Linked DNA regions of Cricetulus griseus. The protein of the gene in region 1 interacts with the protein of each later gene in a biochemical or structural test. Links are inferred from orthologs where the notes say so. Each region holds a gene or a part of one and is shown on either strand. Other genes may lie near its edges. The genes, in order: Pias3 and Mitf.

Region 1 (4,561 bases):
TCATTTCCCAAGGAACACAATCCCGGAGGTAGTCCAGTGTGGTTTATCAGGTATCTGGGAATATTGTTAGCCCCCTATGGCTTGTGGCTTGGGTTGGTGCTCATGGAAAGGATTACACTGAAGGCTTAAATGGGATTATTTCTAGTATTTATTAGGGCTGTTTATTTTTTGCATGCTCATTGTATAACAACTTGCCTCTGAAGTAGACTGAGCTTTTGAAAGGTTTTAAGCCCTCAGCACCTAACAATCCCTCATTAGCAGTTTAATATTTACCTCCCCCCCTTGTCAAATACTTACTGAACAAATGACAATATTCCTTAGGCCCCAAACAACTATAAAATGTGGAGTTTTGTTTGTTTTACAATAACTAGTATATAAGGCACACTGCCCTAGAGTCGCTATCTTCATAAACATAGAAATGAATTACTCTAGTCTGCGAGTGCGTGGCCTACTGGGGAAGGGCAAAGCTTTGGAGGAGGGAGTAGGCATTTCAATGAGGGACAAAAATGTTTCCTTTGTTCGTGTTCCTCCCCTGTGTTCATTTTGAAGGACACCAAAACTGTGAGATACCTAGTTACTGTAAGCACATTTGAAGGTCGGGTGATAGAGGGCCATCTGTAGGGTTTGCATTGTTTATTTTTCCATTTGTAGCCTTAGGCTTTCCCCTAGGCAGATGGAGATTTCATCCTAGAACCTTTTTAAGCAACCAGGTTCCCGGTGCACACAGTCCTGCCTCCCTGCCCAACCCAGTCCTTACACTCCCGCAAGGGATCACAGGGTCACCGAGACTTTTGGAAAGCTTCTCTCCTAAGCGCTCCCAAGAGTTAACATCTCGCGCCGGGCTCCTGGGCTCCGCCCCTCTCCCCTCTCCGAGGTCCTGGCGGGTTTATCCCGGAGGGGGCGGCCGCAGCAGCAACGCTCGGCCGGGAGGAGCTCTGGTCCGGGCGGAGCTGCGGCTGCGGCGTCCCCCTGCCTGCCTGCCTGCCTGCCTGCCGGACGGGACCGGACCGCTCTCTCGCTGCACAGCCTGCGGGAGCAGCGCGGGCCCTTTCCGCGCCGGGGCGCACTCCCGCAACTCTGCAGGTAAGTCTGGCCTCCCGCACCCAACTTTGTGGCTGCTCGAGCCTGGCGTCGTGTGGCGCCAGCAGGAGCTACGCTCGGAGTGGCTGTGTGTCCGGGGGAGGAGGCGAAGGACCGGCCACAGCCATCTCACCCAACTCCCCCCTAAACCGGGCAGGAGCGCCGCACTCCCAGAGTTGGCAGAACTCTGGGGGTTTCGCGGGCTAAACTTTTAGCAGCTCGGGGTGGGGGGGTGGTGGAGGGGACGACGACGACGGGACACGGGCTCCAACTTCGCCGCCCCTCCCCCACGCGGTGGAGCCCCGGCAGGGCAGTTCCGGATGCTTTTCCCTCCGTCTTTCAAGTCTCCTCGGCTCCCCCCCCCCCGCAAAAAAAAAAAGCCCGTCCCTTCGGGCCCGCCCCCTCCTCGTTACCCGCAGGGCCTCGCGGTCCCTGGGCCGCGCTCTCCCCGCGGGGCCACCGCGCCGCCCGCCCGCCCGCCGGCCGCTCGCCGGCCGGCCGCGCCGCCGGAGACTTGCCTCGGGCGGCGGGGCTGCGGAAGAAGGGGCGAGGCCGGCGGCCGTCCGAAGCCCGGCGGGCGGGGCCGGGAAGGGGAGGTGTAGGGGGCCGGACGGGGCGGAGCAGGCGGCCTTTGCGGCCGGCGCTGGGGCGGAGAGTTTGCGCCGGTCCCTGGGCCTGAGCTCCGGCTCGGGCTGGGGCGCCTGCGATGTCTCAAGATGGCGGAGCTGGGCGAGTTAAAGGTACCTGCCCCCTCCCCCAGCCCCGTCAGGACTCGCCCGGCCGCGCGCCGAGGCGGGGAGGCGACCCGGCTGGGCGCCGCGGGCCGCGGTGGGCGCGGGCGACGTGTCAGGGACGACGGGCTGCAGGGATGCGCGGGCAGCGGCCGCGGGAAGAAGGGGCTGCGGCGGCAACCCCGGGGCGGGGCCCCGCAGGGCAGATGTAGGGGTGGGGTGGGGCGGAGGGGGAAAATTGTCGCTGCCGCCGGGGGGGGGGGGGAGACACCCGCGGCATAGGGGGCGGGGACGTGGGCCGTAGCCGCTTTTAGTAGGAGGTTTTGCAGGGTAGCGTCAGGCGAGAGACAGCCGCTCCAGAGGCGTAGGGGCGAGTCCCATCGGGGCAAGAGATGCGGCAGTAAAGGGGAGACGTAGGGATGGGAGCCGAAGGCCACCCAAATGTTGGCAGGCTCCCGGGGACGTGCGGCTGAGGATGGAGGCTCCCGGGCTGCTGCTGTTGGCATCTGAGCCTTGGGAAGTACCAGTTGGCAGCTGAGACGTAGGGGGCGGGGCTGTATGGGAGTGTACCTGAAGGGATGGGGCAGGAGCATCCTGATGGCTGAGGGGAGGGAACTGTCTTAACGAGGCTCTCTGTCTTGGGAGAGGTGGAGGAGTGTGAGCCATGGGATAGAAAATAAGTTACAAAGCCAGCGGAGAAATTAAAAAAAAATACAAATAGGAGGAGGTGAGAATGGAAAGGTAGAAGGACAAGGTTTTCATCACATCCCTGAAAAGGAGCCCAAGAGGAAAAGAACTTGGAGAGCTAATGACCTGCCCACGACTAGGTCTTGTAGGCATTTACAGAAGGGAGCCCTACAAGGAGGACATCCCTCGGAACCTTGGACCTTCCTTCCCCCATCTTCTGGCTTTGCTCCGTCCTTGTCCTAGACAGGCTTGAGTTCTAGCCACCTTTTAAGAGCTTACTTTTGAGCCGGGCAGTGGTGGCACATGCACTAGGGAGGCAGAGGCAGGAGGATCTCTGTGACTTCGAGACCAGCCAGGGGTACACAGAGAAACTGTCTCAAAAACAAACAAAAGAAGAGCTTACTTCTGTGCGGTGGTCCATGGACATCAGTATCATTTTTCTGGGATCTCTGTTGAGAACTTTGCCCCTGGTTTCCACCCCTGTGGGTGTGTATACCATGTATGAGGGAGTAAATCAGGTCAATTACCTAGACATGTGGATTAACCCTTCTCCCCTACAAGTTTTGATAGCTTCCTTCTAGTAAAACAGGACTAAAAGAGTGTGGGTATGTATATAATATAAAAAGTGTGTGTGTGGTGGTGAGATGATGATGATGATGAAATGTTGAACTTTGACCTAAAACTCCTGACCATAGAAGCTTCAATTCAGAGATATGGGGAGAATAAATGGATTGAGGTGATTGGGAGGGGCGGGCTGTGGTATACAATCCTCTAGCCACCTGGCCTTTTTCTTCCTCATGGGGCTGCCTGCCCCGAATCCTTCTCTTCCTCCTCCTGTCCTATCCTTTTCCCAGGAGGCTAGGAACACCCTAAGAGTCTGAGCCCTGGAGAGACTATAATCAGCTTAAGGGAATGTCTGGATCAGGGGTGGGGATGGGGCTAAGTGGTCCCTGTGGTTTCAGCTAGTCAGGTCAGCTACTTGGAGGTAGTGCACTAGTTTTAGAAGTACCTTCCAACACCGAGGGTGGAGGGGAGAGGCACTGTCCCCCCAGGAGTTCTGCTTCTGTCATCAGCAGGACAGGCTTTTGTGACGTGGCATGGGATTATTTCTGTGCTCTTCTCCTAGCACATGGTGATGAGTTTCCGAGTGTCTGAGCTCCAGGTGCTCCTTGGCTTCGCTGGCCGGAACAAGAGTGGACGGAAACACGAGCTCCTGGCCAAGGCCCTGCATCTCCTCAAGTCCAGCTGTGCCCCCAGTGTCCAGATGAAGATCAAAGAACTTTACCGCAGGCGCTTTCCCAGGAAGGCCCTGGGGCCCTCTGACCTTTCCCTGCTCTCCTTACCCCCTGGCACCTCCCCTGTAGGCTCCCCTGGCCCTCCAGCTCCCATCCCTCCCTCCCTTCTAACCCCTGGGGCCCTGCTGGGCCCTAAGCGCGAGGTGGACATGCACCCACCTCTGCCCCAGCCAGTGCACCCTGATGTCACCATGAAACCGCTGCCCTTCTACGAAGTCTATGGGGAGCTCATCCGGCCCACCACCCTCGGTATGGCTGGGCTATGGTCCCTCAGAGTTCCTTTCTGGACTCTGGTTCAGGCTCGGGTTTTTTTTTCTTCTTAGATTTTAGTGTTGTAGAACCAGCAATCTGGGATGGGAGCAAGTAGCTTCCCAGGCATGGGCTTGGGAATGACTGTGTGTTTGTGTCCTCAGCATCCACCTCCAGCCAGAGGTTTGAGGAAGCGCACTTTACCTTTGCCCTCACTCCCCAGCAGGTGCAGCAGATTCTCACATCCAGGTACATCTCTCATCCCTGCCTTGTCTGTGGGGACTTTCCCCCCTGCCTTTGCCTCTGCCTTTCTTCTCTGTTCTACATCGTCTCTTGTTCTTCTGCCTGTCTTCTGTCTGCACCCTGGACATCTTTCTCTCTGCCTAGCCCCACCCTCTGAATTGACATTTCTCTTTCTATTGCAGAGAGGTTCTGCCAGGAGCCAAGTGTGATTATACCATACAAGTGCAGCTAAGGTGAGTTGCTTCTTAACAAGGATGGGTGCTACGTAGGGGTATG
Region 2 (4,351 bases), on another chromosome or scaffold:
CTTATTTTTTGAGACAGAGTCTCACTTTCATCTGTAGCTTTTCAATTCAGACAGACTGGCTTGGCAGCAAGCTCATCCCCACCTCCCCAGTGCTGGGATTACAACTGCCAACCACCATTCCTGGCATCTTCATGTGGGTTTTTGGAATAAAACTCAGGTACTCTTATTCCTGTGGCAAGCACTTTACTGGCTGACTCCTGCTCTCAGCCCTAAAAGAAAATCAGTTTAATAAGATTATTGTGGCTGCTAAATTAAAAATCTAAAAGTGGCCAAGGCTGAGAGAATTAAGAGATTGATTCAATAACCCAGGCAAGGACTGACACTGACTTGGCCAGTGTCACCGAAGAGAAATAGGCAAGACATAGGTGAATTTTGGAACATTCTAGACCAGTGGTTCTCAAATGATTAAACCCTTTAATACAGCGCATCATGTCATGGTGACCCCCAACATAAAATTACTTTTGTAGCTACATCATAATTGTAATTTTGCTATTATAATGAATTGTAATTTAATTATCTGATACGAAGGCTTTGTGATATGCATCCCCTGGAGAGGGTCATTCAAACCCAAAGGCATCAACACCCACAGGTTGAGAACCTCTGATCTAAACAATACATAAATGGTCTTGTTATAAGAGTCTGCAACTTTCATTACAACTTTTTTCCCAACCAGGACTTAAGGGGGGCCCCAGTAAAGACTCCAAATTAAAAACAAGGAGAAGACCCTGAACCACATGAAGCCCATTTAAGGTTACAAAACATATGCAAATGACAATACCATTAGGACAACTGTCATAAACAGTATAAGGAAATGTCACCCACTCCAGATACTTACTCACAGATTTTATTTAACTGGTTTATTTCAAAGAGCATATGTCTCCTCCATCCTACCTGGCTTCTGGTACCAACATGTGAAGTTCTTTATGCCCACTTACCTACAGTTTTCTTTCCCCATACTAGCTAGCTAGCTACAAAGAACATGAGCTCCTGACTGTGACAAAGAACAGAACCAAATCCTTCCACATAAGTATCAGGGCACTCACTGGCTTTCTCCAAAGCATATTTTCCTCACTCCCTCAAACTCATTTAATGTATTACCCATCATATAAATGTTCTAAACAGTCCAGTTAATTCATTTCTTTCAGGAACACACACACACACACACACACACACACACACACACACACACACACACACACACACACACCCTCTCATTCTGGCCATGTGAGCATTTGCTTATAGAAGCAAAAGCAGGGGCTGCTCAGTAAAACACTGGTCCCTTCAGCCACATGCAGATAAAGCCCTAACTAGCATAGCCAACAATACCCCTTACACAATCTCACTCAGAGCACCCAATACACACAATCCACGTTCACATACAAAATAGCCATTATAAAAGGAGCCACCAGTGAAGGGCCAAGTTAATGCATCTCAATGCCTAACACATTTCCTTCCACTCTGCCACAAGCATGTGCAAAAAGCCTGCTTTAGCAAGGGCAGCCAGGGACATCTGCTCTTCCCAGAGTTTGTTCGCCTAACTGGATTCAAGGTCCTGCCCCAGGCCTGAAGGAAAGTAACCTGGCTCCACTTTCCAGCAGAGTTAAGACTCATCCTCCTTTTCTCTCTGCCCCTCTGCCAGGGGAAACTCACCTAGACCCTAGTCTCAACTGATGGACAAAGTGATAATGCTTCCAACCTCAGCCTTATCTCATCTCACAAATGAAAGGGGTGGAAATAAAGCCTTTCTTTGGCTATCACAGATTTCAGTGACCATCCCCCTCTCTGTATTCTCACAAATAAGAAGTGCTAGGGATCCAGAGTGATCAAAGAGAGTGAAAAGGGAAGATAACCGATTCTGCCAGCCAAATAGCAATAGACCATGATGCAAAGGATAAGGGTGTTGCAGGTGTACAGAGGTGGGAGGCACCAGACCAGAGGGCATCTTCACTCAAGTCCCAAAGTTTTTGAAGTGCCTGGGGAATTAAACTTGTGTAGCAGCCAAAAAGAGATCATTCCCAACCACCACAGGCCTCTGAAGTAGCTTTTCTTCGTTCTTTCTTTCCTTCCTTCTTTCCTTCCTCCCTCCCTCCGGTCCTCCCTCCTGTCCTCCCTCCCTCCTTCCCTCCTTGTCTCCCTCTGTCCCTTCTTTTTGCATTTGCCAGGAGCTCTATTCCTAAGAGCTTGGGGAGACACGCCCACCCGCTGCCTGCCCCCCACCCCCACCCCGGGAGTGGGGGGGTACAGATGCTCCCAGGTGGCAGGTGGCAGAAAAAGCCCCGGTGAACTTCACCTAGGTACCACCCGGAGCAGTCTCTCCCAAAGAAGCTGAACTACAAGGAGATACTCCAGGCCAGTTTATTGCTTCCCTGGAGCATCGGATCTCCATCCACTCCAAGCTCTCCCTCTCCAGCCCTCAGCCTGCTATGATCCTCAGAAAAAACTCTGCCACTGGGTATAGCACCAGGTCACGGTCCGTATCAGGTGCTCCTCTTACCCCACCTCGGCCAGCAGGGTACAGCCCCAGCCCCCATTCAGCTCAGCAGCTGGCATGTGCAGCCAAGGGTCCCCGCGCCTGGATGAGCCATCCCAAGAGAGCCATGGTGCCCTCGAAGTGTCTGTCAGACACCCTAGGATGCGAGCAAGTCTCTGAGAGCAGGACCCCAGATGCCAGGGGTCAAGTCTCCCTGTACCCCAAGGCAAGGGCACGGGGTCCTTGTCCCACAGCTATTCAGACTGGCTGTTCCCGTCCCAGGGTAGCAAGCGCGGGGCCCCTGGGCCTCCAGCCGCGCCTCCCTCCAGCTGTCACCACTCACCTGCTCTTCAGAGGTTGACTTTTGAGTTCGTAATAGGTTTTGGGTTCTTCGTGAAACTCCTCCCCGACTTCGAAATCCGCCACAATCCCAGATTCTGACTGCATGGCTCCCGCTTGCCCGCCTTCCACTTCTTGGAACTTGGAGCAGAACCCCGGCACCTGACGAAGATGGGGGGGGGGCACTTGAGTCCCCCAAGCCACGCGCCCTGCGCAGTGCCCCGCTAAGCCCGCTAGCCGACCGCCCGCCCCGGCGCGGTGAGTTTACACTGGCATCAGAGCGGGAGGGGCCGATCCCGATGCATCCTGGGATTTGTAGTTCCTTCCTGCAGAGCCTACCAGCTCTATAGGAGAGCAGCTTCCTCCAAGACTACAACTCCCAGAAGGCCGAGCCGGGGAGCGGCAACGTGGTGTGTACCGATAGTGCAAGTCCTGTTTGGATTCCTTGTCAATGTCAGCAGCTCCTCTCCGCGTCTCTCCCGTTTGCTTCAAGGGTACAGACCTGGCTGTTTAATATTAATAACAACGGATTCAGCCTGGTCTCCTACTGTCCCTCCCAGCTCAGACATCTGTGAGGGCACGCCAAGGGTTCATTTAAAAAATAAAACACTACAGGGTTTGGCACTAGAAAAGTTTCAGAGTTAAAGCCCATTTTAAAATAAAAGGGCTTTCTATTCGCCCCCACCCCCCGCTGCCCCTAAGCTTCTCCGGGCTGCAGCGACATATCGTCTTGTCCTCAATTGAAACTGAGTGTTGGAAACTACTCCTTTGTAATGAGAACATTATTGGAGAAGTTGTTCTTGTGCGTTCCTTTTCTGGAACTCACTCAAGTCTGGGCTCTTACAATACTCTTCATCAGCTGAAAGGCTCCTTTCCTTTTATCCAATTAGTTACCTCTAATCCAAAGCAGCACTTGGAGGATCCAGTTCATTTTAAAAGGCACCAAGTTACCAAACAGCTTCGCCACTGTCTGCTTTCAATTTCTCAGCTGGCTGGGAGTTCAAGTGAGATTGTCCTAACTTTGCAAGCCCGTGCAGCTTCAAGGCACTGAGCTAGGTAATGTATTAAATGACTGCACTTTAACACATTTGTACTTGTAGACCTGTCTTCTAATTAGTTCCATTAGGGTTCTTCATTTCACATAAAACAGGTGCTTTGAGACATCAGTGTTAAGAATGGTGTTTAAGATTGTAGAAATCCTGATTTCTTCTAATAAATCCTGTGTAGTCTTAGATACATCAGTTTGACTCCCAGAAGCCTCAATTTCCTCATTTATAAAAGAAGAGATTAGGAAACCTGTTGGAGTTGGTGTTGCAAGGTCAAATTAAGAAAAATTGACTGGCAATGTGGTAAACTGCAGGGCAAGCAAGATGGCTCGTAAATAAATGTACTTGTCTACAAACATGGCAACCTGAGACTGATGCCCCGGGACCCCTGCGTGGAAGCAGGTAACTATTAACTCCTGAAAGCTGTCTACTGACAGCCACATGCAGGTACCCACACAATTAATCAATTAATTAACTCGTTAATTAAAATGCTGCT

What was found.
Region 2: the proteins of Pias3 (region 1) and Mitf form a complex in vitro, tested with the Homo sapiens proteins (2 studies listed by BioGRID). The link is inferred for Cricetulus griseus from reciprocal best matches to the Homo sapiens genes PIAS3 and MITF.

What each region holds. Positions count from the first base shown.
Region 1 is NW_023276806.1:59,801,199-59,805,759, reverse strand, and holds the start of Pias3 (E3 SUMO-protein ligase PIAS3), read left to right. Parts: upstream 1-1,670; 5' UTR 1,671-1,796; coding exon 1,797-1,820; intron 1,821-3,624; coding exon 3,625-4,042; intron 4,043-4,206; coding exon 4,207-4,291; intron 4,292-4,467; coding exon 4,468-4,518; intron 4,519-4,561. UniProt on the Homo sapiens protein: Functions as an E3-type small ubiquitin-like modifier (SUMO) ligase, stabilizing the interaction between UBE2I and the substrate, and as a SUMO-tethering factor.
Region 2 is NC_048601.1:46,121,460-46,125,810, forward strand, and holds the start of Mitf (microphthalmia-associated transcription factor), read right to left. Parts: upstream 3,074-4,351; 5' UTR 2,918-3,073; coding exon 2,814-2,917; intron 1-2,813. UniProt on the Homo sapiens protein: Transcription factor that acts as a master regulator of melanocyte survival and differentiation as well as melanosome biogenesis.